Linked DNA regions of Arabidopsis thaliana. The protein of the gene in region 2 interacts with the protein of the main gene of each other region in a pairwise test. Each region holds a gene or a part of one and is shown on either strand. Other genes may lie near its edges.

Evidence for each region.
Region 1: the proteins of NF-YC11 (region 2) and AT2G47890 interact in a two-hybrid assay, tested with the Arabidopsis thaliana proteins (one large-scale study listed by BioGRID).
Region 3: the proteins of NF-YC11 (region 2) and NF-YB13 interact in a two-hybrid assay, tested with the Arabidopsis thaliana proteins (one large-scale study listed by BioGRID).

What each region holds. Positions count from the first base shown.
Region 1 is NC_003071.7:19,601,008-19,611,548, forward strand, and holds AT2G47890 (B-box type zinc finger protein with CCT domain-containing protein), read left to right. Parts: upstream 1-6,988; 5' UTR 6,989-7,237; coding exon 7,238-7,708; intron 7,709-7,786; coding exon 7,787-7,948; coding exon of another isoform or gene 7,949-8,029; exon of another isoform or gene 8,030-8,031; coding exon 8,032-8,303; coding exon of another isoform or gene 8,304-8,307; exon of another isoform or gene 8,308-8,375; coding exon 8,376-8,469; 3' UTR 8,470-9,280; downstream 9,281-10,541. Other genes in the region: SETH6 (Phototropic-responsive NPH3 family protein), read left to right, coding at 1-432, 503-1,081; AT2G47870 (Thioredoxin superfamily protein), read left to right, coding at 2,332-2,643; AT2G47880 (Glutaredoxin family protein), read left to right, coding at 4,117-4,425; AT2G47885 (uncharacterized protein), read right to left, coding at 4,224-4,361; TLP3 (tubby like protein 3), read right to left, coding at 10,189-10,541.
Region 2 is NC_003074.8:3,953,865-3,964,625, forward strand, and holds NF-YC11 (nuclear factor Y, subunit C11), read left to right. Parts: upstream 1-3,898; 5' UTR 3,899-4,200; coding exon 4,201-4,233; intron 4,234-4,970; coding exon 4,971-5,043; intron 5,044-5,134; coding exon 5,135-5,228; intron 5,229-5,546; coding exon 5,547-5,681; intron 5,682-5,769; coding exon 5,770-5,827; intron 5,828-5,925; coding exon 5,926-6,414; 3' UTR 6,415-6,608; downstream 6,609-10,761. Other genes in the region: AT3G12460 (Polynucleotidyl transferase, ribonuclease H-like superfamily protein), read right to left, coding at 831-1,559; AT3G12470 (Polynucleotidyl transferase, ribonuclease H-like superfamily protein), read right to left, coding at 2,259-2,921; CYSB (cystatin B), read right to left, coding at 6,659-6,796, 7,082-7,227, 7,347-7,566, 7,812-8,012; HCHIB (basic chitinase), read right to left, coding at 8,637-9,184, 9,661-10,120.
Region 3 is NC_003076.8:7,743,546-7,753,140, reverse strand, and holds NF-YB13 (nuclear factor Y, subunit B13), read right to left. Parts: upstream 4,112-9,595; 5' UTR 3,864-4,111; intron 3,800-3,863; exon of another isoform or gene 3,759-3,799; 5' UTR 3,751-3,758; coding exon 3,696-3,750; intron 3,542-3,695; coding exon 3,452-3,541; intron 3,366-3,451; coding exon 3,202-3,365; intron 3,109-3,201; coding exon 2,938-3,108; 3' UTR 2,529-2,937; downstream 1-2,528. Other genes in the region: TGH (SWAP (Suppressor-of-White-APricot)/surp domain-containing protein), read left to right, coding at 4,252-4,386, 5,035-5,125, 5,202-5,296, 5,513-5,616, 5,697-5,758, 5,881-5,949, 6,094-6,233, 6,462-6,537 and 8 more.

The DNA.
Region 1 (10,541 bases), on a different chromosome or scaffold from region 2:
GCTATAGGATCTGGCACCTCCGTCTCTTGCAGATCCGATCTGGAGAGACGGATCAGCCACCTGCTCGACCAGGCCATCCTTGAAGACATCCTTATTCCGGCGAACATCGGCGCCATGTACGACACCGACTCGGTGCAGAGGATTTTCTCAATGTTCTTGAACCTTGACGAGTGCGAGTACAGAGATGATGATGACGACGAGGAGGACGCGGTGGACGAGAGCGAGATGGCCATGTACGATTTCGAGGGGGCTGAGTCACCGAAACAGAGCTCCATCTTCAAGGTGTCGAAGCTGATGGATAGTTATCTCGCTGAGGTGGCTCTGGACTCGAGCCTTCCTCCCTCCAAGTTTATAGCACTCGCAGAGCTTCTCCCTGACCATGCTCGCGTCGTCTGCGATGGCCTCTACCGAGCCGTTGATATCTTCCTCAAGGTATAAAAGAGTCTGCTTTTGAGAATGAGTGTTGTATGATTTTGATTGCTGTGTTACGGTTTTGTATTAGGTTCACCCCCACATGAAAGATTCGGAACGTTACCGTCTCTGCAAGACAGTCAGCTGTAAGAAACTGTCGCAGGACGCAAGCAGCCACGCGGCGCAAAACGAGAGACTTCCGGTTCAGATTGCGGTTCAAGTCCTGTTCTACGAACAGACACGGCTCAAGAACGCCATGACCAGCGGCGGTGGCACAGGCGGTTCGAACCAAAGCCAGTTCTTCTTGTTCCCAAACCGCTCGGGAAGCGGGATGGCAAGCGGAGCCATCTCGCCGAGGGACAACTATGCATCAGTGAGAAGAGAGAACAGAGAGCTGAGACTAGAGGTGGCCAGGATGAGGATGAGGCTAACGGACCTGGAGAAAGATCATGTATCGATGAAGAGAGACTTCGTGAAGCCGCAGAGCAGGAGGAGGCGTTATGGAATGTTGAGGAAGCTCTCGAGAGGTCTGAACAAGTTGAACGCAATCGTTTTGAGATTTAGGAGCAGCCAAAGTGTTGCCAGTAGCGGTAAAAAGCATACGGAGGAGAAAACGAATTCGGAAAGACGATTCATGTTTCAGAAGAGAAGATGTCACTCTGTTTCTTGACTTGCTTGCTTCTTCTTCTTCTACTCTTTTGTAATATTTCTTTAACAAAGAAAAGACGAGAGTGAATTTGAGTGTGTAAATTTGTAATTTACAGATTCTAGAGTTGCATAATACATTCCCAAGTGTGTAAAGCTTGTCTTGTATATACTGTTCGTTGATGATGATATATTGATATGGATCAAGAAGACCCTTAACGGAAAACATTTTGTTCTAGTTTTGTTTCCAGCTCAATGGGGCAAGAATTAAGTCTTGATCCCTTTGTCACTTTTCTAGGCCTTTTCTAGTAGGCCTATATATTATATCTCATTGCGCTCAACGGCCCACTACAAATCTTCCGGAGTATATTAGACGTGAAAAAAACTGTGAGATTTTTTTTACTCACGGGCCTAATCTTTGCTTTATAGGTACAGAGAATTTGCACTATGTCAAGTGTCAACGCCTTGTGATGACAGGAAAAAAAAAAACAGAATATAATCTACGACCTACATAGAAGAACTATGGACGTCGAGATTTGAACTAAAAGAATCTAATTAACATGACTGGTCCTTGCGTTTGCCACGTCGTTGGATCCCCTCGACAAGGTAATATATCTACCTTACCTGTGAGATATTTTGTAAGGGAATATATACATTAATGACAAATATCTTGAAAAAAGAGAGGATGAAATCAAGTCTTGGTTTGGAATTTGGGTTGGTGATTCCACAACTCAATTGCTGTGACCACACTAGAAAAGTATTTTGGCTCCCTCTCTAACAGGTTGGCCAAAACGTACCTAGATGTAATGAAAATAACTATATAATTACTACTTTATTAATCTGTAACAAAAACAAAAAGCCTATGTTTTTTTTTTATTAGATGACATTTTTAAACACCACACCAGTCAACACCAGATTTTTGCTTTTGACCTTTGTATATTATTATCATTTTAAATTATACGTTTGAATAACTAACTTACAAAAAAAAAAACAATAAATTTCAGCTTTTTGTCCATAAATTTATTCCAAAGAAAAACTACTATATATTGTGATGTATAAACAAATGTCAAGGGTATGTGATGCTGCTGCCTGTCGCAGACCGAAAGCGACACAACTTACCTTTTTTGATAACATACCAAACTATATAATTGATCGCGTTCATTTTCCGAAAATATATGCCGAATGCGGCGGGGCTATAAATAATAGTTTGATCGATCGGCTTGTTTATCATCCATACTCAAGGCCTCGAATTAACACTTCTTTGTCACATCGTCGATGGAACGAGTAAGAGATTTGGCATCGGAGAAGGCGGCTGTGATATTCACGAAGAGCTCGTGTTGCATGTGTCATAGCATCAAGACTCTCTTCTACGAACTCGGGGCGAGTCCTGCCATCCATGAGCTTGACAAGGACCCGCAAGGCCCTGACATGGAACGGGCCCTCTTCCGGGTATTCGGGTCTAACCCTGCTGTCCCTGCGGTTTTCGTAGGAGGAAGGTACGTCGGCTCAGCTAAAGACGTCATCTCCTTCCACGTGGATGGCTCCCTCAAGCAGATGTTAAAGGCCTCTAACGCCATATGGTTGTGACTACATATCATCACGCTTCTTACTATCATTTATTCTACACACACTAGTTCATATTATGTCATCTCGTGAATAATACATACATATATTTATCTAAGCTTGCATGAATATTGAATTATACTTTTAGTAACCATATATATAGAAGATTATGCATGCTCCGATGCTCGTGGAGATTAATTATCAGTTGATACGGAGAAACTAGACTGTAATCAATCATCACGTAAAGATTTCTGTTAATATCGGAATATCATCTGGATTTAGCATAATATCTTCCGATTATAGAAAAAAATGTACGTAGTATAATACCTAACCGATATACAAATGAATATCGAACGTAACTATGCTATAACTAGTATATATATGATCGTTTTTGAATCAAACATAAAAGAGAATCTCGCTCATGAAAAGATTACTACACCCACAAAACAATCGAAAAGTAAGCCAAGAATGACGCAGCAGAGTTAACATATGCGTGTGATTCACGCGTGCGTCCGGCAAGAAAGACATTTCGAGAGAAGTGAATCAAACATTAGTGTAAGTGTGAAAGAAGAATATATAAAAAAGAAAGATGGAATAATTTTCTTTGGCAAGTTGGTGTTGGCGGAATCACCATGTACGATGCATATTGTTGATACATATATATACATGTTTATCACCGAAAGGTCCAATCTTTTTCATTTATCCTCACTTTGCGCAATGACTCAATCAAAGGAGATATGTTGAGAGAATCCGTTAGATTATAAATTGACAAGCCTCTTTTCTTTTTCTAGGGGTATTAATCATGCTATATTTCTTGTCACATTGATTTGAATATCAGCAGTTTAAGAAAATCGCTTAGCCAAAAGTTATTAAGAAATCGTCTGATTTCTATCATTGTTGTAATCAATTTGATAAGCTAGCTTCAACTTTCATATCTATGTTAGTGTTTCAAAATTACTATCATATGCATTCCGTTCATACTTATTTCATCAATTAGTCCATGCATGCATGTGCTTATTATTTAGATTAATTATATTTATGTCACTGGCAATGCGTATACTATTATTAACCCACAAAAAGGTGAAACTGATTACAATTTTTCGAATCGTATTCGTAAATTACTAATCAACATGTTATGACGATCAAAACAACTGCAGCGTTACCGTAGAAATAAAAATAAATTGAATAACTTAGAAGTGAGAGTAATGTTTGCAACTTGTGCAGTCAAACAGAATATAAATAAGAAGAAAAATTCTCAAATAGGCATCTGATATTTTATCTTTCCTTTTTGATATTTTCTTAGAAATAAACTACATTTTAAATGGTCTTTTCTTTCTAATTAGCAAGAAAAAAACACACTCGAAAGACTCACTCCCTTCCTATAAATAGGCGAGCAAATGTCAAGCTTTTTACATACTCAAAACAAAACAAAACATACATCAAAACGCTAAAGTTTAAACCCCTAGCCATCATCAGATCTTCAGACTTCTGAGGATCATGGACAAAGTGATGAGAATGTCTTCAGAGAAAGGAGTGGTGATCTTCACGAAGAGCTCATGTTGTCTCTGCTACGCCGTTCAAATCCTGTTCCGTGACCTTAGGGTTCAACCAACCATCCACGAGATCGACAACGACCCGGACTGCCGTGAGATCGAGAAGGCTCTTCTCCGGCTCGGCTGTTCCACGGCGGTTCCAGCTGTCTTTGTCGGAGGCAAGCTTGTTGGCTCCACCAATGAAGTCATGTCCCTTCACCTTAGTGGCTCTCTTGTCCCATTGATCAAACCCTATCAGTCCATCCTTTACTAGCAAAATTAAACCAACTCAATATATAATATCTAATTATTAGCTAGTGAGAATAAACACAGTTACAGCTAGAGTGTGAGCTAGCTAGATATTCAGTGAGGACTTCGTCTGAATTAATGTTTATCGTTTGTATGTTCTATTGTTTAGCTTCTCTCGTGTTTCAGTTTAGTTAATCAACTGGTGTATGTTGATGTATGACTCTCTGTTTATGCTAATGAAAATAGTATTGAAACTTTTACATTTTTTCCCACACAATTAGTAACGATCTCTTGTGTATGTTGAGTAATTTAGGGCTTTCCATATAATAAGGCAAGAAACCGTTTATACTTGTCTGTTTTTAACATGGTATCAGAAGGAGGCTACACACAAACCATTTTCTTATTTAGAAATATTCACATACACTGACAGTAGCTAGAATAAAAATGTGAATGGCCAACACATGCATGAACTCGTCTTCTAATTATCAAGATGTAATGTATAAGTTGGCTTCATCATTATTAGTTAGACCTATTGATAGTTAACATTATATCGGGCGATATACAGATTTAGCCTTTGTGATGTTGTGTTTAGAGCGTACTTTTGAATCAAGGATAAATCAGTGCCCATTAGAGTATATATAAATCGAATGTGAAAAATATTAGATCAGAATAGACTTAATTAGTCTCCACCATACAAATTTGGTAAGAAGAAAAACAATGATAAGATACCAGTGGCCTAATGCAACTAAAGCAGTTTGAGGAAGAGGATGGAAGATCTTTCGCGGTCCAAGTATATCATGGCTACACAAAATCACTGCTCTTTTTGCGTTCCTTTATTCTTGAGTATCTTCACGTTTAATTTACTATTATTTTCTAATGAAAAATTGTACACCTTTTTATATATATGAACTCTTTGTTTTTTCGTTAGTTGCTCGTGTAGTAAATTAAACATATATGCTCATAATCAATAAAAACATACAATGTTAGAAGAAAAAAATACAATTTTTTTTACTAACGAATCATATGAATAGTTGTTTTATATACGGTACATTAACGATCCTCTCATCAGCTTTATAGATAACGAAGCATATTATTCTCCTTAGTTCCGCTTTTTATCACTTGAGATTAAACTCTACTCACAGGTTTAAGCACGTAAATTAGTTACTAAATAATGGATTTGACATTTACGCTTTGCATGCTTATATATGTTACCCATAATTATTTCCCTTTAGTTACTTAAAGTTACCAAAATCAACTACTTCAAGATTCTCCAATCAAAAGAAGCGTGTAAAAGCCTCTATAGTTATATAGTAGTATATAGACCTTGAAGATTTCTTTTTGAAGAAAATATGATTATACTGAGTTCAAAAGGTCGAAAAGAAATAATAAAGGTAGAATCCCTTTACATGATGTGTGGAACAACTTTTCTTGACCTCCAACTTCTTGGGATCGTGGGAAATATATAGGAGAATCTAATCGGAAGTTGTACAGAACGTGTAAGAACTAAGAACCATATTCACTTTGTTGTCATTGTTATAAGATTCAAGATTCTTTGACCGGCGCGTGAAAAAAGCATCCACCTATAGGCTCAAGATTCGTGTCCAAGAAAATATCGAGAACCGATGATTACTTGGAAAGTGGACCATTTTTTAAAAAATCAAAAATTAAAAAAGGAACGTAGCTCATGCGAATAGTTTAGTCCACCAAAGTGAAATGGTAGAACATTTGGTTTCAGTTTAGTTGTGTGTATTTTTATTAAAGGCTTCAGAATCAATTTCGATTTTTGAAAAATGAGTTTTTATAGCCATGTTAGTATGTTACGAGGATGGAAAAGCAACCTAGCTAGATTATCTTGTGATATGTGTTATTGTTCAAGAGAAGTAGGGGCAGTAGTTGTCGAGATCATGTTATTAGTGTCGCTGGAATGTTAGATATTGCCCATCCTGTCTCTTTTTCCCCATCGTGCCCTAAAAGTCAAACTATGCATGGTATTAGCTAATCTTGAATAGGTTTAATTCAGTACGGAAACTCTAATTGAAAACTACCTTCATGGAGTAATAGTTATCGAGGAACGATGATGAGGTATTAGTGGAGATAAGCAGATTTGGACTCAATATCAAAAATTAATGGTGGGATCCATTTCCGTTTCACCTAATATACATAGTGGCAAACAAAAAACAAATATAAGAAGAAAAGATTCAGTATCGAGCATTCTAGCTATGTCGGTAACGTGACAAAGTCCTTTTTTTCGTTTGTCTGTTTCTTTAAAGTTAATCAAATCGGCCAACGCTGCCTCAACAACGAGCTTCCTTTTTCTAACGTCCCTAATTTGCCACGTCCATTTTCTGGACTAGTCCCGGTTTAAAAAATCTTCAGAGATGTATTCGTGGTCAACTTCATTAACTCTTTCTCTTGAGCCCTTCATTAGTTATGATCTTATTTACTTTTTAAAAATCTAACCAAGTACTGTATATTATATATGTGGTAGCCAAAATATTATGTTAAATTCTAGGCTAATCCGATATATCAAGAAAAATCAATATATAAAAATGGAGAGCTATTTTTCACGAGTTAAGTGAGAGAGATGAGTAAAGAAAGGCACGGGAAGGTGAAGAGAGTGTAGGTTTCCAGCTTCTTCCCCAAGAAATAAAATGTATTTGACTTTGTCTAAGCAAATATGTCGTCACTTTAACGTCATTCATTACCTAGAATGCAATTAAGATATGGCTTTTACATAAGCCACCAAATTTGGTTTTGTTGCCCCAAAATATCCCAAGAAAAGATCAACTTCTTCTTCTTACCAAAACTGTCGGCGTCGTCTCCTCTAAGCTCCTCCCATGGAAGCAGAAGAAGGTCATCAGCGTGACCGCCTCTGCGACTATTGCGACTCCTCCGTGGCTCTTGTCTACTGCAAAGCTGACTCCGCCAAGCTCTGCCTCGCCTGCGACAAGCAAGTCCACGTCGCCAACCAACTCTTCGCCAAACACTTCAGGTCACTTCTCTGCGACTCCTGCAACGAATCTCCCTCTTCCCTTTTCTGCGAGACTGAAAGGTCTGTTCTTTGCCAGAACTGCGACTGGCAACACCACACCGCCTCTTCCTCCCTTCATAGCCGCAGACCCTTTGAAGGATTTACCGGCTGTCCCTCCGTGCCTGAGTTGCTGGCCATCGTTGGCCTCGATGACCTCACTCTCGATTCCGGATTGCTTTGGGAGTCACCTGAGATCGTTAGCCTCAACGACCTTATTGTTTCGGGCGGGTCGGGTACTCATAACTTCCGGGCCACGGATGTTCCTCCTCTGCCTAAGGTATAACTTGCTCTGTTTTTTTTCTCGAGCCAATTGCTCGGTTTTTATATTTCTCTGAAATGTTTTGAAATGCTCCAGAATCGTCACGCCACCTGCGGGAAATACAAAGATGAGATGATCCGACAGCTCCGTGGACTATCCAGATCTGAGCCTGGTTGTCTGAAATTTGAAACCCCAGATGCTGAGATCGATGCCGGGTTCCAATTCCTAGCGCCGGATTTGTTTTCTACATGCGAGCTGGTAATAGAGACTGCTATTGGTTGTGTTTTCTTGTGCTTGTCAAATGATTTTCCAGCTTATAAATCTCTCTTGTCAATATGAAGGAGAGTGGACTGAAATGGTTCGATCAGCAAGATCATGAGGACTTTCCATATTGCTCTCTGCTAAAGAACTTGTCGGAGTCAGATGAGAAACCTGAGAATGTAGACCGAGAGTCATCGGTGATGGTTCCCGTTTCCGGCTGCTTAAACCGATGTGAGGAAGAGACTGTGATGGTTCCGGTTATCACTAGTACAAGGTCGATGACACATGAGATCAACAGTCTTGAGAGGAACTCTGCTCTCTCTCGCTACAAAGAAAAGAAGAAGTCTCGAAGGTAAACAAGCTAATTTAAAAAGTGAGACACCACCAATAGGATTGGGATTTGAATCATGTGTTGATGAAACAGGTACGAGAAACACATCAGGTATGAATCACGCAAGGTTCGTGCAGAAAGCAGGACAAGAATCAGGGGACGTTTCGCCAAGGCAGCAGATCCATGAATGATGATGAGGTTACTTTGATAATCAAAAATCTTTTGTATTAATCGAATCATATAGTGTGTATGATCAGATAAGTTTTTGTATTCTAAGCTTAGGAGTTATCACTGTATATCGACCACACTCTCAAAATTGTCACTTAAGAATAGTTTTTTTTTTGTTTTGCCTCCGATTCCTAATTTGCCAAAGGGCAAGCATGGACGAGCACAGAACAAAACATGGTTCACAGTTATATACAATCTCAAGACAAGCAAGCAGCAAAAGAACTTGTTGTAATGTTAGAAAGTGAGATTGGACCCATTAAAGATCCATGGAGCAAGAAGGGCTTGATGTAATTGATATTATGGGCTCAAGTTGTAACATAGTAAACCCAATATAGGTTGGCATGTTTGGGCCATTTTCTTTTAAAGCCCAAATATAAAAGCGTCTCTTCCCGATGGCCGGCGAAACAGAAATTCCGCTGCCGTCGCAGCTTTCACTCTTGTTTTTTTATTCAGATGAAATTGGATGGCCGATGAAGACAAACATCCAAAGGCATGGGCTCGCGGCAACAACTATTTGCAATCTACCAATATATAATAATCTGAGGCAGTATAAAAATACAAAAAAAAATGACAACACTTTTTGGCAGATCATTCCTGCTACGATGAATCTGTCCCAATGATAATCTGAGAAGTAAAGTAAGTTTTGGTTGAACAAGGAATCTGGAGTGGGTTTTACTTGTTGAGCAATCAGTAAGCACTAAATCATGTATCAGAGTTGTGGTTATATTCTCTATGTTCTTCTTAGAATTCAAATATGAATCTGACTTGGAGTTCTTTATTTTAATGATGGTTAATTTTACTGTTAATATTTTTGGATTTGAACATTTGGTGAAGAGTGGTTGCAGCTTGAAGCAATTTTGCATCTCTCACTCTTCGTTTACTGTTTGTTGACGTTGAAGATTAGGCCCCAACAAACTTGTATATAAGAGCCCTTCTCTGTTTATTCTCCTGTCTTAAGAGCGCTAAATCCCTTGGAGACATCTTCACCACACTGTTCAGAGATCTGTCATGGGCCCCGGAGGACCAGGAGGACCCGGAGGACCAGGGTTCTTGCCACCGGGAGGACCAGGCTTCTTCCCACCCATTGGTGGTTTCTTTTCTGGGTTCTCCGACATGATATGTTCCTGGTAAAGACATTCTCTGTTTTGCTATGTGTTTTGTAAAGAGTTAAGTGGTTAGTCTGACTGTGGAATCTTGCAGTCTATCTTGTCTGTGCTGCTGCTGGCTGCTACGAGATTGCTTTGGCGGCCCACCGCCACAAGGACCGCCACTTCTGCCACCCTATTATTGACCACATCTGACTCCATTGGTCACTCGAATAATATTAAAGCTATCTCTGTATAGGATATTGCAGATGTTTGTCAAATTCAATCTTAAATATAATAATTCAAATGTCTCAATTTCTGCTCTGTGTGGATATATATTACCCAAAAAACGATCAAATTAATTATCAGAGAAATGAAATCATAGTCTGGAACTACAATCACTAGCAACACAATGCAACAACAACAACAACAAACACAATCTACTGTCTTCGATTCTTGACTCTTCTCTTGTATGGACTTGCCAAGACTTTTGAAACTATGTACACACACTTCTAAGACGAGGCCAAACCAGTCTTCTCTTTCAACATGATACAACTAAATAAACACGGAGTCACAGGGTTTGATGGAATTAATCATTCACATGCTATCTTGGTGTCGAAACTGCTGAGGCAAATGGTGAAGGCCTGGAAGGCAGAGATAGGGTACTGATAATCCATTGTGAACACATCTTTTCCGACTTTTCCAAACTGGAGAATCACGTTTTCGTGCTCAGGTCCTGCAGGTCCATTCTCAGGAGCAGCTACCAGCTGAAAGTTTTTGACGGAAGCAACTGTGACTCTCCCATTGAAGTTGAGGCACCAGCACTGGAGCTGTTCGTGCCATCTGGGCGCTTTGTTTTTCAGGACAAGCAGTCCTTCCTTCTGAGCAGCAGATGATGGACCAGAAGGGAGACTCTCTGCACGAATTGATTTCGACCTGAAGAAGG
Region 2 (10,761 bases):
GAACGTCGTGTATCCATTGGCCGATGACGGAGGGGTCCGGCGTTACGGTGACGGTTAACTCTTCTCCAAAGAAATTGACAGAGTATTTTTCCTGAGTGGCATAACTTCCGATTGTTCTGATTCTCGGAGCCATTGATTTTACGTTTACTTTGGAGAACCAGAGCATAGAAAGATAATGATTCTGCTTGTATCGTCGAAGGCTACTTAAAGTGTAGTACTGGTGCTCAGTGCTCTTTGTCACCGTTTGATCTTTGTGAAAATAAATGCGGTTAAATTTGGACGGTTAAGATGCATGTAGGCAAAGGTTAGCCTTTCGCATCGTTGGGTCAGTCTATCGTGACATCGTGCATAGTAATTCGACGTCACAAACTCACAATTACTGATTCGTTAACCTCAAACCTAAATAATTACTGATTCGTATTCAGAAAGATTTTATAAAAAACTTGAAATTTGGGAATTAAGGAGGATGAATAATTTCAGTATTAGTTAATATTAGTATCATCCTGTATCAAGATTAGGATTGAAAAACTCAACATAGCAAGCATTAGATCCAAATTAAAGTAGGAAACATATTTAGCACAGCACTATGCGTTTGTAAGTTCGTTTCCTTATTTTGATAAAATTTAGCTTATGATAAAATAAAATAATACTTGTATTTTACAAAATACTCATGGAAGAAATAAACTACTAGTTTTTTAAAAAAGAAGGGAAATTTCACTCACAAGTCCACAACGAACAAACGAGATAAGATTTATTTCTCTAATAAGTAATAACAAACCAAAAAAGGAAAAGATTCAAACATTTGCAACATTAGATTCTAATTGAAACGTTTACCGATTCTTTTCTTCCCACAGATGGTCTAGAATAGCAAGGCTGCAACACGCATAAACATCTATCGACGCCTGAAGAATCTGATCGTAGCTAAGGTTGTAAACGCGCCAATCGCTCATGCTTACCTCTCGATCTAGCCTCACTCCTGGATAACCTAAATTTTCCTCAACAATCTTCTCAAGCGAATAATTATACATCGATCTCCGTCCACTCGAATCTGAAACAAATTCCCTCAAATCCATAAGCTCCGCAATCTCCAACTGATGTCTAGATCTCTCTAGCTTTCCTGCATCTTGACTATTCCAAATTCCGACGAACGTGTTATCTCGATCCGCGAGGAAATTACGGAGGACCTGCGGGACGCGTTCACAGTAACGGAGTTGGATGATGATACATCGATTACCAACGCATAGCTGCAGAGTATCCGCCGGAGGATCGGAGCTATAGAAAACCGGTGGAGAATCGGAGCGATAACTGTCCGGAGAAGAATCGGAACGATAACTAACCGGTGGAGAAGCAGGGTGGTAACCAGAGGGTGTCCACTGAACGCCGACTCCAACGACGAGAGGGTGAGAAGAGAGACGGTTGTGGAAGAAGACGTCGTGAATCCATTGGCCGATGACGGAAGGATCCGGCGTTACGGTGACGAAAAGCTCTTCTCCAAAGAAATCGACTGAGTACCTTTGCTGAGTAGCGTAAGATCCGATGGTTCTGATTGTCGGAGCCATTGATTTTGCCTTCAGTTTTTCAAGCAGAGATAATGATGAAACTGCTTTCTTCTCCTTTTGCAATCGTCGGAGGCTAGTTAAATTGTAGTACTGGTGCTCGCTATCACCATTGATCTTTTTGAAAATAAATGCAGTTAAATTTGGACGGTTGAGATGCAGTGTGACGTCATTAACCTACGCCAAACCTTAATGGTTATTACTGATTTGAATTCAAAAAGAATTTCTTATAAAGATCTCGAAATTTGAATTATGGAGAATATTTTGAGTATAGTTTATCAGATTACGTTAGCTAATGTTATATACTCCTAAAAATTAGTATTATCCTAAATCAAGATTAGGATTGATAAACGCATCTCAGTTGTAAACTCGTATCCTTGATCTTGCTTGAGGTTATATCCAGTTTAAAAATCGGAAATCATTTAACTGGGTGCAAAAACATTTGATTGACCAATTTGGTACGTCGTGATTTTTTTTGTCCCATGTCAAATTAAACAAAATTGATAATATAATTCATCAAAGCGTATTTGTTTTTAATCAAAACGTTAGATAGTCTTTTAATATCAATGCCTTTATTACAAACGTAGTCTACATGTACTAATTTTCCAGTCAACATTCATAGTCACAAAATACGATAACATGAAAACTTTCATGAATTAGAAGAAGACGTTGATTGATAAAGAGAGAAGAACAACAACAAATTCAAATCACAAGATTAGCAGCAACTTTTAAGTTCCAGAGACGTTCCTCAACAGCGAGCTTAAAGCAAACATACGACTCAATCGACGCCTGAAGTACCTGATAATGGTTAAGGTTATAAACGCCCCAATCGCTCATACAAATCGCCGGATCTAACCTCACTCCTACGCGACCCAAACGCTCCTTCACGATCTGTTCAAACGAACAAAAACACATCCTAGCCCCTCTCGAATCTCTCACGAACATCCTTATGTCCAGAAGCTTCCCGATCTCCACTCGATGCCTACATTTCTCGAGTTTTTTCTGGTCTTGGCCGTTCCAAACGCCGACGAAAGTCGTTTTGGGATCGGCAAGGAAAGTGCGGAGGACTTTTGGGAGACCGTAATTGTAACCTAGTTGGATGATGAGACAGCGACTACCGACGCACAACTGGAGAGTTTTTGGTGGTGGATCTGGATCGGAACTATCCGGTCTCCACTGAACACCGATTCCAACGACGAGAGGATGTACCGAGTGATTACGGTTGTAGGAGCGGACGCTACGAATCCAGCGGCGGATAACGGAAGCAGTCGGCGTAACGGTGACGATCAAGTCGTCTCCGAAAAAATCGACAAAGTGTTTTTGGTGAGTACGGAAACTTCTGATTCTTTTGATCGTCGGAGCCATTGATCTGTCTTCTTCTTCCTTTCTCTAAATTTTTGAGCGAGTGTTAGAAAGAGAAGCGGTTTCTTTTTCTTGTTATAGGGTACATTTTTGTTTCTAGTTATAATCACCGTCGATCTTTGTAGTTTTAATCGTACGGTTGACAATGGAGATGCATGTACTGTCACATCGTCAGGCCTATCATAGATGTATACGCAAAACATTTACTAATTACTGTATTTTACGGCTCTGAATTTTTATTTTTATTTCCATAAAGGTTTGATGAAGACATGGAATATAATACTTTTTTACGTACTTCTTTTTACTAAAATAGTTTATTCAGTTATTTGGGGGCTTAATTAGGTAGATAACCATAACCTTTTTTTGTGTGTTTTTTTCACGAACAATGATTCACTGATGTAAAATCATAATTACTGATGAAGTTAACTTTCAACGTATAACGCTATGACGCAATTACTCTTGATATTTTTTCCTATATATTGGTTTGACAAAATTTTGTAACTTTAAATATAACTTCTGAAAAAATAAAAAAGTTGTAAATATAAATTCCACAACATTTTGTTTGGAACTTTGGATACATAGGCCACTTTGTTTTATCACACTTTATAATAAAGGTGGTTTCTGTTTTTTTTTTCTAAAATTCGACAGTTTGGTTTATAAGTATCTAAATTCAACTTGAAGACAAATAATTCTAACTTTATTTTATTTAAATTGTGATAAAAAAAAGTAACCCAAAACATATTTTTTGGTTCAGGCATATGTGTTACAACTTACAAGGATGCATTATCCTCAAACAAAATCCAATAAATAAAAAATAGAGAAGGTGGATGAAGATCTAAGAATTAATACTGTCACGAGAAAACGTATACAATCCACTAATACATAGCCACGTGTATGGTTAGATCTTTTCAAACAATCCGATTATATTTTGTGCTCCGCCGTATATTTATAACTAACATTACTTAATTAAATAACCATGTCGTCGACCCATTTTTTTTCTTTGACCCAAAACTTTAATTTGATTATATATATTTAATTTTAATTTTTCCATCGCACGGAGATTGTAACAAGGAAACCGCCGTCGCCGGATCTGATAGTGCATATCCATGAAGTAGAAGACGAAGAAACTTACTTTCTGATCTTAGAACGGAGTATATGTACAGAAGATTCGCGTCCCTCAATTTTTGATCTCAAGGGTCGGGTTTACCTTTTTTTCCTTCTTATTTTTGGTGGCTTTGCGTTTTCTCATTCGACGATTTCTGGATTTGGGGATTTCAAAACCATGAGGAAGAAGCTCGATACTCGGTTCCCAGCTGTAAGTTTTTCGTCTCTAATTGATCATTTCTGAAATTGAAGTCCAATTTCTCGGAAATTACTTTGATCTGTTGTTTTTCAGATCGAATTTCCAACACTATTTGGGATTAGATTAGTGTTCTACGATGAAAATTAGATTAAGTATCTCATTTCTGGCGAATTAGTTTTAGCAAATGACCTAGTAGTCAATTTCACCCTAATTTTTGTTGTGCTTGTTATATAGCTATAGTAATATGTGTTATGAAGATCCGCTATGGAATGTTTCATGTAAATTAGAGAATTCGAGAATTTAGGTGACTAGTGCTCGAAACGTGTTCTTTATCAACAAACCAGTCAGCTATTGGTTAGATAGTGTTGATTGAAGCAGGGATGTTATACACGAATTGTTTTTTCATAGGCTTGGAACTTTTTGTAGAGCTTCCAATTTGGCTAGCTAGATTTTGTTTAGCTTTATTGAATAAAACGTCAGATGATTTCATAAGTTGGTTATTGTTGATGGTGGTTTATTTTGTTTGAGCTGAGGCTAGAATATTAGTTTTTCACAGATTTTGACTTTCCATTTAATTTGTTAATATATTTTTGTTTGTATAATCTGATTGGTGATTGTACAGAGCGTGCTTGGTGTTTCTCAGTTCTACCATTTGCTTTATAATTCGTTTAGTAGTCTGTAATTATTGCCACACACACTGTGTGATGGTTGCTGTTTCTTCATTTGATGCATATATTACAATTTTTCAGGCTCGTATTAAAAAGATTATGCAAGCTGATGAGGATGTTGGCAAGATAGCTTTGGCAGTGCCTGTCTTAGTCTGTAAGTCATCTTGCTATCATTGACTTCAGTTTGAAAAGAGAATTATTGGAAACTTTACCCTTTGGCTAAATTTCATGTTCTCTTATTACAGCAAAATCTTTGGAGTTGTTCTTGCAAGACCTTTGTGATCGTACATATGAAATTACCCTTGAAAGAGGTGCCAAGACTGTGAGCTCATTGCACCTGTAAGTAACAGATTGGTTTACCTTTATTTTTGCTTTAACTCTGCATGCTAGCATCGTCATTATCTAAAGAGCATGAAAGGTTTCACTTGAATGCATTTTAAATTCTAGAGCTTTCAGATGTTGTAATTATTGATATTGTGGTTTAAGAGTTAACATGATGTTGTTAAGCGGAATAGCTTCCAACTCATAGGGCCTATTTTCACTGCATCCAACACCGAGAGGATGTTGTTTACTGTTACAGAATTTTATACCACAAATTTGGGATAAAGTTCTTATTTTTGCTCATCCATGTTTATCAAAGTGCTTTGTTGTTTACAGAAAACATTGTGTGGAAAGATATAACGTGTTTGATTTTCTGAGGGAAGTTGTGAGTAAGGTGCCTGACTATGGCCATTCCCAAGGGCAAGGACATGGTGATGTTACCATGGATGATCGCAGCATCTCCAAGAGAAGGTTGGATGTTTGATCTCTTAGTTCCATATGTTCTAGTTCTTTGTTTATAGTCCGTGTCAAGCTGATGTGAGATGGTTTATCAAAACAGGAAGCCCATCAGCGATGAAGTGAATGACAGTGACGAGGAATATAAGAAAAGCAAAACGGTGAGCTCGTGTTCTTCTTGAAATATTATACTTCATCATTCATTTGGTGTCTATTCCCAGCTCCTTAGATTCATTGAATATATTGGTAATCACTGCAGCAAGAGATAGGGAGTGCTAAGACCAGTGGCAGGGGTGGTAGAGGAAGAGGGCGAGGAAGAGGTCGTGGTGGACGAGCTGCAAAAGCAGCCGAAAGAGAGGGTCTCAACCGCGAGATGGAAGTAGAAGCCGCCAATTCTGGACAGCCACCACCAGAAGACAATGTCAAGATGCATGCGTCAGAGTCATCACCACAAGAGGATGAGAAGAAAGGCATCGACGGCACAGCAGCATCGAACGAAGACACCAAGCAACACCTTCAAAGTCCCAAAGAAGGCATTGACTTTGATCTCAACGCTGAATCCCTCGACCTAAACGAGACCAAACTGGCACCAGCCACAGGCACAACCACAACCACAACTGCAGCAACAGACTCTGAGGAGTATTCGGGCTGGCCTATGATGGACATAAGCAAAATGGATCCAGCACAGCTTGCTAGTCTGGGTAAGAGGATAGACGAGGATGAGGAAGATTATGACGAAGAAGGCTAAGTCATAACAGCACTATAGGATATATAGAGTAGCAGCGTTTAGCAGTTTGTCTAGAAAATGCTTCTTCTGTCATCAAAATCTTCTCCTGTTTCCATTTATTGTATGAACCAAAGATTGCATGCACTCTATGAAACTTAATTTATTCTCCTGATTTGTTATTTAAGGTTTTAGAGTTTTACATCAGAAGTTAAAATATCTTACAGAGTAAGTAAACACTCAAAAGTACATAAACAAAGGAGAGGGACTAGTCATGGTGTTGCTCCGCGTGGTTGAGATGAAGAGCACCTTCATGGTTCTTGTGAACTTCCACCTTGAACTTTTCCTCTTTTTCTCCCCTCTTCAACTTCAGTAGCATGTTGTATTTTGCAGCCTCGCCGGTTACCTGTGTCCATGTTTTTAATATTAAGCTCATTAATCTTGTAATCACCAACTATTACAACTCAGACGTTAGTCCTCATACCAAGGAGAACCAATATGTTGCTTAAAGTCTTTTCTACTTCTAAAACTTCAACACCATTCGGTTTCACTGACACTTGATTTCGTTTATTTGCAATTTCTCAGATGAAATTCATGCAAAAACATTGTCAAAATCTGACAAGTTCTCTATTGAAATTCATTTTGTGCAATTAAGATCGAAGATAGAGTATATAGTAAATTAAAGCCATACCTCAGCTTTAGCATGCACAACCTCCAGAAGTTCATAAGGGAACAAGGAGTTAGACCTCTGCTGAATGGTCTTGACAGCCTGCTCAGCAACATGCTTCACTTCTGGATCATCTCCGGGAACTTCCCTCCATCCAGATTCATGTTCACCTGATCCACAAAACCCAATTTTCATAACCAAACTCTTTCCTAACCCACAATCTCTGACTTGCTACATATATATCCCCTGACATTATAATGTTCTTATCAGTAACTACTCAAATTCACACCTTGCTTGCAGCCAAGATCGGAGGAAGTGATAGCAGGGGCATCACTGGCAGGCTTGAACTCCTGTAACTCTTTAAAGTTCAACCACGGCTTGACCCACACTTTGGCTTCGTAAAGCTTCTTCTGTCCTGCCTCGAGAATCTCCAGAGTCAGGTGATGCAGTGTTCCGGCTACAACTTGTTCTTTCGCCTTCACAACTCTCGCAAACTCAAGAAGTGCATTCTACGACGACCAAAGACAGAACAAACCAAAAAATCAATCAATCAATCAATCCCACAACATGAACGCATTTCATCACCGAATAATATACACTCTCTAAGATCTGCTGGTAACTGAAATTGAGATCAATAGAGAAACTCCGGACAAAATTAGTCTAATCGTGTTCTGGATCAAGACTATAATAGCATAAAACACACATATCGAGACGAGAGATGTGAAAAAATCGAAGATGATGAGAGATTTGGAACCTCTTTCTTGTTGTGTTCATCGACAGCGAAACGAGCGAGGCTCTCAACCTCACCACTGTTCTGATTAGCAGGGACATCGCCAACACCTCCGACTAAAGCCATCTCTTCGTTGCAGAAGCCTAAATCACTGGCGATCAGAGAGGAAATGAAGAGGGATAGAGAGAAGAAAACAATGAAGAGTAAGAAACGGCTTCTCATCATTCTCACCTTTATTTGGTTCGGTGCCCTGTATTTTTAGATATTTTTCGTTTTACTCGTCGAATTGTTGATTTTATCCTCTACAGTTAATTCGCCGTGTACCGGATTAAGGTGTCCATTTGGTTTGATGTTGGTTTTGTTGGTACAGTTTTAAGTTTAGGCTCTGATTTATGAAAATATTCTTACGATTTAAAACAAAAAAGGTTTACATTTGATTGGATGCCAATTGAATCGAATCATTTGTAAGAAAAGAGTACCGATTCGAGTTATAGATTGGTTTGATTTGGCCTCAATCGGTTAAGCTACCAACATTTTAAATAGAAATTCATACCAATCTGGATTACACATGAAAACGTTGCTGAGGATAGCGGCACGTTATACGAAACGTGTCGGCAGAGTCACACAGAAATTGTCAAACACCTTTACTTGTAATCGAAGTTTAAAACATCTATGCACCTTTCTTCGTCTTTCTCTCATCTGCTAGAGAGCCCAATTAAAAAAGGCCCATGGGAAATAAAATCGCAACATAAACAGTGAAACATCATTGGAAAGAGTTTTATTAGTCTGATATTATTGTTTTGATAATACAAAGCTGCGTATTATATTATAATAATAATACTCTCGTTACTAAATAGCAGCTTCGAGGAGGCCGTTAACGAAGGATCTTTGGTTGTAACAATCAAGATTACCACCAGGATTAACACCAAATATGTTACAATACCTCTGATAAAACCCTATACGATCGGCGACTCTCCCGTCTTGGCCACGTCCACACTCCAATCCACCGTTAATGATGTTCGTAATCACTCCATAACCCGGTAATCTCCCGGCGGCACGGTCGGCGTCTGAAGGCTGCCACTGGCCGGCTATCACGGCATGGCAAGACGGTTTGGGAGGCTGAGCAGTCATCCAGAACCAAATCGCGGCTTTGAAAGCGATCACTGCGTCGTTGGCAACAAGGTCAGGGTTGTTGAGTAAGTCAACTCCTATTGCTCTACCGCATAGACCGTAATTGTAGTTCCACGACAGTTGCATTGGTCCTCTTCCGTAGTAGCGTTTGCCAGATGCGCATGGCCACGTGGCGCTCGGTTCACAGTAGTCTGAAGCAGGATTCTGTTCTTGCTTGAAACAGTAGCCCCATGAATATGGTCCGTCTGGTGCTGTAGCCCATCCACCTGCACGACGTAACCGTCCACTTAATTAATTAGTATATAGCTATATATATAGTCACAACTCACAAACTTGACATTATTCAAAAGTGTATAATTTGGAAACTGGAATATTCGTAAGTTCCTTGATTGGTTATTTGCGTTTAGATTAATCAAGAATTTCATATTTTTAAAATAGTTTTTTAATTGTAAACGCAAACATCTAAGACCAAAACATTTTTCTTTGCGTTTGGCGTTTTTGTTTGATTTTTTTCTTTCGTTTCTAAATATGAGAAGCTATAATTTTTTCAATAAAACATATATATATATATATATATATATATATAGTATAGTAGTTCTTTGTATATATGAGCACTTGGATCCAAAACTCTTTACAGAAGAAAAAAAGAACTTCAAATTCTGATGTTTTAATAATAAACACCAAAATTTAGCAATTGTGTTTTGAAACAATCTCCGTCAAATTGTTAATGAGTTTTGGGTACCTGTAGTTTCATGGGAAGTCTGGCCGAAGAAGGCGGCGACCTCCTTCTTCCTCGTGGCGGTGTCTCCGGTGGTGCCAAAACCGGGGAAGGACTTTGCAGCGGTGATAAAGGCGTTGTAAGTGTAGAAACCTCTAGCAGGACAAGCGGCATCATTCCTATGCTTAAGCATATCATCGAACTGAGAACTTGAAATGATGCCCGAAAGATCGCCGGTGGGTCCAGGAGGAGTACCACCGGGAGTGCACTGGCTTTGGCAGCCAGGCTGCTTACAGTATGGTTCGGTGTTACCGCACCAGCCGAACTCGCTGCAGCATAGACCGTTGGGGCAGAGTGCTCCTCCAGCTTGGCGACCACATTGCTCGGCCGAGGATAATGATAGGAGAAGTGAAAAGATGAGAAAGAGAAAAAGATTAGTCTTCATTTTGTTCAATGTTCTATGGTTTTCTTTTTGTGGAGGCATGAAAGATATATATAGATCCAATTAATGAATGTTTTATCACATCAAATTCTATCTTTTTCCATAGTTTATTGTTTGTTATGTCTATGGAGTGTGGCTATGGGGAACAAACAGTATTTGGTAGGTTTGTTTTTGATTATATTTATTTTCCTTCCGTCATTGTTGCTAGGTTAGATATTGATTTGTTTTTTTGGGGGATTATCATGTTAATTCCAAGTAATGAGAACTTTCTATGTATGAAACTGTGCTAAATGTTGGTAGAAGAATACAAATTTTAGAAGACCAAAAGCATAACAAATTACACTCTTTTTGAGTTTTTTGTTCTAAAGTTACTATCGACGTAGATAGTGGGACACAAAGGTCGTAAAATTTTGGGTGGTCTGAAAACACGTTTACTCGAGTTGCGGACTAATCGATGATCTGAGCTAGTGTGCACTAATTAATCAAACACACACATATTCGGATATTCCCTATGATGTATACACAATACTTGACTATATCTAAGACAAGATCACAAGAGTTGCATGAATAGTCAAGAAAATGTATAACGTGGAGAAAATAAAAATAGACGTGTCTAAATATTTAACTATGATCAATGTTGACAAAAACAAAATTTAACTTTAATTATGAATATGAGGCGGCGG
Region 3 (9,595 bases), on a different chromosome or scaffold from region 2:
AACTGATTAAATTTAATAAAAACAGTTAAGATTAGCTAAGATTTATATCTTAACTAATATATTTTCTTAAGTTTAAGAATTGGACATGTGCGGTGTATTTATTGGGTACACAAATAAACAAAAGGAAAGAAAAAAAAACCATTAGAACATAAATAATTTAAATTTTTTCCCTTAAGAATTTTTTGCTTCTTAACCATTGGAGCATAAATAAGTTAAGATATTTTTTTAACTTATCTTAACTTTGAAAAAGCAAAATTTTAATTTTAAAAAAGATTAAGATCCAAAATTAAGATGTTTTAACATCTTAACCATTGGGGATGCTCTTAGGTGTTAAGTGATTCAGCTTGGGATTAGTTTTAGACTTTTTAGCTCAATTAGTTGCTTATTCTAGAGATATTTTTGGTTTTTTTAAAACGGATTATGCTCAATTCTTGTTAGACAATTTGAAAATGTAAAATAACTGATTCTATCAAGTAAAGAGGAGAGAAATATTTTTTCTTTCATTTACATCTTTATCTCTTCCATTCCTCTCAACACCACCAATAAAACCTTTTGCCAATATGAATTTAATAAATCTGAGCCAAGGCAAAATATGTATTTAGGAGAAAATATATAAAAAGTATAAATATACAAGAAAAGCTTGGTGCTGAATTTTGTAAATGTTGATTTTTGTTTATTTTAGTTATATGAATGGTTGATTCAGTTGTATTAATATAAAGTTAAGAGAATAAGTGGAGAGGAGGATTGTGTTTTTGTTGAATACTTTGGGAGAAACACGAGAAATGAGACAAAAGAAAGGAATCTGGGGACAAAGTGTGTGTGTTGTTTCATTTTCTATGTGGGGTAATCTACAAAGACCCTCAATTTTGTTTGACTCAAAAACCCTTTTTTTGACTTCAATCTTTTATACAGTAAAAAAAAAGAGTGGAGTGTTTACCAAAATATAGTACATTTATATCAAATCCTTTCTTCTTTATATCAAATCTTTATTGTACATATTATACAATCTCTAATCATATTAAAGATTCGTAGATGATTTCAAACTTATTTTCAAATCAATGGACAGGGAAAAAAAAAGTAAAGATTAAGTATCAAAAGCAACATAGAATATAAACATTTCTAAATTGAAACAAATGCAAGTGAATTGTTGAACCTCTTGTACTCTCTATTTTTCCATCTCACTTTTTGAATTGTATGCGGTTATTAGTTTTTTTTAACCATGTTAAAGCAAATAGTTCTGAGAACTGTTTTTCTAGTTGTTGGCAGTAAAAGTAAGATTTTTTTTTCCAACTTTTCCTGGTAAAAAACGCAAGACAATAATTTGGCACAAGCGGCTTGACGTCACTATCCTTATATTACTGTAACAACACTTACTAATACGAAACTTAAATCGTGCATGTTAGATAATATAGTAATTAGTACACATATTATCCATACAACCACTACAGGTTTCCAACAATCCGTCATTAAAAAAAGTTAAACATACAACAAGACTCGATATCAATTGGTACATGGATACTTAAGTTTATGCTTTATAGATAGGTTCAAGTAATTGTCTAACACTTATAGTATGGTTTATCATGGAAAGATGAATGTATTCAATTATACAACTATTCATTAATAGTCTCGATTCAGTACGAAATATTCTCAAATAAAGATTGGTGTGACGGGCCATTAAGAGGAATACAACATTCGACAGGCTTTGTCTTTGTATATCAAAGAATAAAATCATACTGTTATAATAATACAAAGGAATGTATAATAATGTTACAAATAAATACGTAAGTTATATAGTTAGGATCAATTGACGTCATAAATAGTAAGATATGAAATAGGTCTGTTCTGATTCTCTTATTAGTTGTCGGGTGCAGAGTAAACAGAAACCTGCGAACTGACACGTCACTCCGGTGATGGTCCTGCTAGTACCTTCCCCTTCTTCGACTCTCCCTCACTCCTCTTACCTTTTTTTTTGGGGTCAAAAGTCATCCTACCTTTTACAGTATATACTTTAATTAATGATGTCATAATTCATCAGTTTATGTACATTTTTAGTAAGAAACTAAAATATTAATGAACCATTTGTCTTTTGCTTTGTAAGGAACTATATATTTAATGAACAAATCAGTTATTTAGTACGAACAGATTAAAATTTGAGACTGGGAAAACTAGAGTCTATTAAATAATTTCATCAGTTTATGTTTTTTCTACTAATGACAAAGACAAAACATACAAACCAAGTCAGTTTTCCGGTTATCAATTAACCGAAGTATTTCTTCTAACTGGTTACCGAAAAGAAATTCAATTTGGTTTGGTTTTGGTTCCTTCTTTATTTTCTAAAATCGGTTCGTAATCATTTGCGAAACCCGATCAAATTTTGGTAAAAAACGGTCTAATAATGGTATAATCCGTTCTTTAAGAAACAAATAACTATCTGAGAAACCAATGTCGAACCGAACCGAAATTCGCAGGTTACTGAAGGCAAATTGAAAGTACGCCAATCGGTTCAGCCTAGAGAACCAAAACCTAGCCGAAAACCAAAAATCTATGTTTGGCTCAGTACAGTATTCTCGGTTCGCGTCAGAATCACAGGGCAAATGTTAACAACACTAAACAATGATTGCATTGTGTTTATGGAAAAACAATTACACCAATCACCAAATTTATCCAATCTACAAACATTAAGATTCCTGTAAGTCATCGAATCAGATGCTTTGTGTAGACCTGACCCACCATGCTTAGTCAAGACACAAGTAAACACAAAACAAGGAATGCTTACTAATTACATCTGAATCACAAGTGTTTTTAGATCGTGAAACACTAACTAACATATATCATACTAAGAGCATATAAACAGAGAACATACGCATTTGCAACTTACAAGGGAATGTTAAAAGGATGTTGTTTTTTCTTGCCTAACACTTACCCTTACGGTTTCAGTTAGCTTTGCGGACTTCTCTGGTCAGTTTCTGGATGTTCAGGTTGAGGAACCGAAACACCTCCATTCATTCTTGCACGTGCTTCTGCAAACATACGTTGTTGCTCAGCTGCTGCTTCCTCCTCAGTCATTTGAGCTCCAGGGTTCCATTTCACGCTCCTCTGTGTGTCCTGCTATAGAGTCACAAATGTAGGAAACGGTTAACATTAATCGTTTTTTCGTCTCCTCGTTATCAAGAGTAGGAGAAGAAAGTAGAGAATCATTACCATTGTTTCATACTTATGTTGCTCATACGCAGCATAGACTTCTTCAATGTATTCTCCAAAACCAAGAACCTGTAATGCCTTGAGAACATGCTCAGGAGCAATCGTCCGTTTATCCTCTTTGTTACAAACATCATTAGATTCTGAAGATACAAGATTTATAAACTCTGCAAAAAATGTTTTAAACCACAGTAAGAAAACCAAGAACTCTCACATATATAGATGAACTCAGAGAGAAACTATATGATCTTACCTACACAACATTCAATGAGAAGATCTTGAGCATCTCTTGCAACACGAACATCTGGTGGTAACATCTCCTTTATAATTTTAGTCATCGTAGCTAAAACAATAGAGAACAACAAAACATATTCTTAGCAAGATAATAAAAAAATGAAGTTTATGATGCTCATGAATCCTATAACCTTCAAGCAGAGTTATATATAGCTAGGTTTACAAATCCTCCTATTTAATGATCAATGAGCAATAACACTAACCTTTTGGAAGAGAAGCGTCTTCCTTGGATTTGCCGACTATATCCATTGGATCCATAGTTTAATCTACAGAATTCATCAGGTTAAAGGTGCTTGTACACGAAGATCTGCATAAAGAGCAAATCAAGGGGAGATCGGAAAAAAACGAGAAGATAGAGATAATCGACTCACCGTAACTGAGTCAACACGAACCAAATCGGAAAGTAGACGAGTCGCGGTGAGATCTGGCGCCGGGAAATCGATCGGATTGTACGGAATATAATCGGAGGGATTTTCTCTCTCCTTCGTCTTCTCTAGCAGAGTCGTTTAGGGCAAACGGAAGAAGCAAAGCGCGTGAATCACACTTTCTTTTACAACGCTTAGAGACGGCGCGTGAAGATAACTTTAACTTCCTTATAGCAATTGGATTTTAAAACAAAACTAATGGGCCGAAAAGAGACCCGAACCAGGCCCAGATATCTCCTCCATAATTCTCTGATTCTGCTTCTTCTTCTTCTCTCTGGGACTCGTTCAGAATCTCGAATTGCTGCTGCTCCTCTCGGTCTCGGTGGTGAAGACAATGGGGTCAGACGAGGAAGATTTCGTGTTTCATGGAACGCCAATAGAGCGCGAAGAAGAAATCGCAAGCCGGAAGAAGAAAGCAGTCGCTGGGGCTTCTGGCAATCTTAGAACTCTCCCTGCTTGGAAGCAAGAGGTGAGTTTTTCTTTGATCTTCTAGTTCGTCTATTTAGTTGCAGATGATTAGATAATTTGAGCTTCGAGAGACTCGCTTTGGCCATGAACATGGGAGTTTTTTCGTTGTGCTTGTTTTCGTGATTCTAACGTATTGTAGAGAGCTTAATAGGTTTTATGTCGAGTAAGGTAAGGGATAACTTTGAGGCATTCCCGTTTCAGCTTAATCAGCTTGAAAATTTGTGAGTATCCCGGAATGAAATTAACCTTAAGCAAGAAAATCGAAGTGAATGTCTCTACTGGAGCTGATTTAATACTCAAAATCATGCTAGACAGTTAGATTCTGAGTTTTTGTTATTTGCTGTGTTTGTTTTTGCTTATTAATGTATCTATGGATAGTTATTAGATTGATTATCTGCATTTAGGTGTTTGCCTTGTAGGCATTTTGAAATATGTATTTATGTATGTGGCATCTTCCTTGGTCTCTAATTGCAAACTAATTGAAGCAATCTGTGATGAAAATTTGTGTCCTTACTAATGGATGCATGATATTGCAAGAATTCGTTGTCCAGCTTTCCACTATGAGTTTTTACTGGAAATAAAGTCTATCTGTATATAGTTGTACTATTATGTGGAAAGTTGCTAACATCTCGAGTTTTACCATACTCAGGTGACTGATGAAGAAGGCCGTAGAAGGTTCCATGGAGCATTTACTGGTGGATATTCTGCTGGGTATTACAATACAGTTGGATCAAAAGAGGGTAAAGTTTACATTACCTGATTTTCAAAGGCTTTTTTATCTGTGCTATGCTGTTTACAATCTAAATCGTACTTCAGGCTGGGCTCCACAGTCATTTACATCATCAAGGCAGAACAGAGCTGGAGCGAGAAAGCAAAGTATTTCAGACTTTCTAGATGAAGATGAAAAGGCGGTATGTTTCATCTTTTTCTCCTTGTTAGATCTGTTAAAGCTTTATTTCGAGTTATTTTAAGCTTGTCAAAGTTTGATTACCGCATATTGCATGATTCTTCTGTTACTTTTATCAATGGTAAAATGGAGTGTGGATTTGGGAATTATATTTTGCTCTGTGGAAGATGTGCACCATATTTAACGATGTTACACCATTCTAAATCCTTTTCCATTTTAGGATATGGAGGGCAAATCACTGTCTGCGAGCTCACAATTTGACACATTTGGGTTTACGGCAGCCGAACATTCCCGCAAGCATGCTGAGAAAGAACAGCATGAGAGGTCTGTGTACTTATCTGTAGTCTGTTTTTTATAAGAAGTTGCTATCTATATATTTGTAACATATTGTTTCTGTATCACAGGCCATCAGCCATTCCTGGCCCTGTTCCTGACGAACTTGTTGCTCCAGTTTCAGAGTCAATTGGTTAGTTTCAATAAGCCTCTTTAATATTTTGCAAAAGTTCCTTTTCTTTCGTTTTCTTTATTTTCGAATGCATCAAGTGGAGAAATCCTGATCTCACATTTATGCTTCTTTATATTTTTCAGGGGTCAAACTTTTGCTAAAGATGGGATGGCGGCGTGGTCATTCAATAAAGGAAGTGCGTGCCAGTTCAGGTTTGAACTTGTTTAACATGCACTAATCCATAATCTTCTTTTGTGCACCAAGAAAAGCCGTCAATACTTTTTCTATTTTGGAAATTCACAGCAAGCTCTTTATTTCGTCTCTCTCTCTCTCTCTTTTATACCTTGTTGGTGCAGATGCTCGTAGAGAAGCTAGAAAAGCATTCTTAGCCTTCTATACTGATGAGAATACAAAGGAAACGCCCGACTCGCTTGTTTCTGAGACTGAAGTGGAAACTTCTCTGGGTGAAGATATTAAAATTTCTGAAAGCACTCCTGTGAGTCAATTTTCCTGTTTCTCTTTTCAAACGAGCTATATGTTGTTGATTGTAATCGCTACTGGTGTGATACTTCTATTAGTCATACTTTTCTTGAACTTCTCTTCTACTTTTTATTAACGTCGGACTGTGAATACTGCTTCTAATCTGCTGCTGAGCTTCTTCAGATATTACCCTTAGTTACATTGATTTTGATGATATCCTTTGTTCCCCCTTTATCGATTGCAGGTATATGTTCTGAATCCAAAGCAAGATCTGCATGGATTAGGATATGATCCTTTTAAGCATGCTCCTGAATTTAGAGGTACCTAGTTTGGACTTTTTATGATGTTTCTGCTGACAGGGCATTCTTGGTCATTGACTTGCTTCACATTATTCTGATCTGTAGAAAAGAAAAGATCTCGCATGTCTGCCAATAAGGAGGTTGGTTTCAGAAAACCTTTATCAATGAAGGAAAGTCTTTTTGGACCCAAATGTAAGATTTTGACTCACCATTTTTTCTTTTCTTTCTTGTTAATTTTCTCTTCTTTGCTTAAAGATACTTACATGCATCTATAGCGTATCTCTATGCCAGCTTTTACTTGGCATTCTTGTTGCGTGAAAACTACTTATGGGTTTTGTTAGTTACTAACATGAGTTGAACAATCAGCAGGAAAGATTGCTCCGGGTTTTGGCATTGGAGCACTTGAGGAACTTGATGTTGAGGATGAAGATGTCTATGCTGGTAAGGACAGAAGTGCAATTTCACTAATCATGGTTTCTTTGTTCATATATGCATAAGTGTCTGTTCAGGTTGAACTATTATTTATTCTAAAGATTACAAACCATTGTCCCACAGTCGTTAATTTAAAGCTCCTGTATGTTGTAAAAGTAATTTGCTTTTGTAAAAGAATAATATTGGTTATAGGTGTAAATACTTTCTTGACAATTTGAAGTGCTAGTTTTGGATTTATCAACCTCCTGTTTCTCAGAATATGCTGCAATACCAAAGTGTTTTTCTTTTCTTTCAGGTTACGATTTTGATCAGACTTATGTCATAGAAGACGAACAGCCAGCAAGACAGAGCAATGACAATAGACTGAGGTTAACCTCAAAAGAGCATGACGTTCTGCCAGGTTTTGGAGCTGCTAAGAATTCTGACTACAGTATGGAGAGGTAATGTTTCAATGATTCACAAACATGAGGACATTGTTAAATCAATGTCATCACACAATTGCATGTCTAATAGAGCTCTTACTCTCAGAATTTTCTGATTATGGCTACTTACATTCAGATAGTCTAATTCATATCATTGTGTGTTTTGTATATTATATCAGATTTAATCCTCCGATAATCCCGAAGGATTTTGTGGCCCGGCATAAATTTTCTGGTCCTCTTGAGGCTGAAACTAAGCCAACTGTTTCTGCTCCTCCGGAAGTTCCTCCTCCTGCAGATAATAATCTGAAACTTCTGATCGAGGGGTTTGCAACTTTTGTTTCCCGTTGCGGGAAACTATACGAGGATCTTTCTAGAGAGAAGAACCAATCAAATCAGCTGTTTGATTTTCTTCGGGAAGGTAACGGTCATGACTACTACGCAAGAAGGCTGTGGGAGGAGCAGCAAAAGCGTAAAGATCAAAGTAAGCTGACATTAGATGTTAAGGTGTCTCCAACCGTACAGAAAATGACTGCAGAAACACGTGGCAGCTTATTAGGGGAAAAGCCATTGCAGAGAAGTTTGAAAGAAACCGATACTTCTGCTTCTTCTGGAGGCTCCTTCCAGTTCCCGACCAATCTCTCTGACACATTCACCAAATCAGCTTCATCTGTAAGTAAACAACTTCACACCTTACAAGACTTTAGCTTGATTACACTTGATAGATGAGTTTCAAGTGATATGCCTTTGTTTTCCTTGCACTGACATTCTTGACTTATCTTTCTCTCCCTGAAATAGCAAGAGGCAGCAGATGCTGTGAAGCCCTTCAAAGATGATCCAGCTAAACAAGAAAGATTTGAGCAGTTTCTCAAGGAGAAATACAAAGGAGGGTTACGTACAACAGACTCCAACAGAGTTAATAGCATGTCGGAATCAGCTCGGGCACAAGAGAGGCTGGACTTTGAGGCTGCAGCCGAGGCAATTGAGAAAGGGAAAGCTTACAAGGAGGTCAGACGGGCTACCGAACAGCCTCTCGATTTCCTTGCTGGAGGTCTTCAGTTTACTTCTGGGGGAACAGAGGTATGTCTACAGAATCTTCTTTGCAGTTATCAGTTCATTTTTGGGGTTCTATACTCATACGTAAAACTTTTGTTTACAGCAAATTAAAGACACTGGAGTGGTAGACATGAAATCGAGTAAGACGTATCCTAAAAGGGAAGAGTTCCAATGGCGTCCTTCACCTCTTTTGTGCAAACGTTTTGATCTCCCCGATCCATTCATGGGAAAGGTAAATAAGTGGTTCCTTGCTTCTCCGTCATGGAATGTCATTTAGAGCTTAAATTCATTGAACACTAGAAAATAGCTTGGTCTACTCATCAAACCGTTAACATTATACTGGAGAGCACTTGTTGGTGAAGTTTGTATAATCATGACTTTAATTACATCCAATGCAATTTTGCTCAGATGTGGTGGGATATGTTAACAATTGAATGATGTGCATGTTAAAGATTAAAAAAAACCCGGAGCCACTGCTTTCTACTTGATCTATTTTGTTTAGCTGTAAATTATACAATTTTCGGTGCCATGTTCTTGTTATGTGTAAAATTTAGTACTTGATTGATCAATACATTCCCTTCAATTTTACAGCTGCCACCTGCTCCGCGAGCGAGAAACAAAATGGATTCTCTCGTATTCTTGCCGGATACAGTGAAAGCTGCATCTGCACGTCAAGTATCTGAGTCGCAAGTACCTAAGAAAGAGACATCAATAGAAGAGCCTGAAGTTGAGGTAGAAGTGGAGAATGTGGAGAGACCTGTTGATCTTTACAAGGTAAAGCGAGTGTCTTTGTCTGAGAAAGTTTATGCTAACTCAATTTGATAGTTTCGATCTATTAATATTGGGTCATGTTCACTTGTAGGCTATCTTCTCTGATGATTCTGAAGATGATGAAGATCAACCAATGAATGGAAAGATACAAGAGGGTCAAGAAAAGAAGAATGAAGCGGCTGCAACCACATTAAACCGGCTTATAGCTGGCGATTTCCTAGAATCTTTAGGGAAAGAACTAGGGTTCGAGGTGCCAATGGAAGAAGAGATCAAGTCCAGAAGCAAACCCGAAGATTCTTCTGATAAAAGACTTGATCGACCCGGATTGAAAGAGAAAGTGGAGGAGAAGACAAGCAGCCTCACACTTGGGTCTGAAGAAGAAAAGAGTAGAAAAAAGAGAG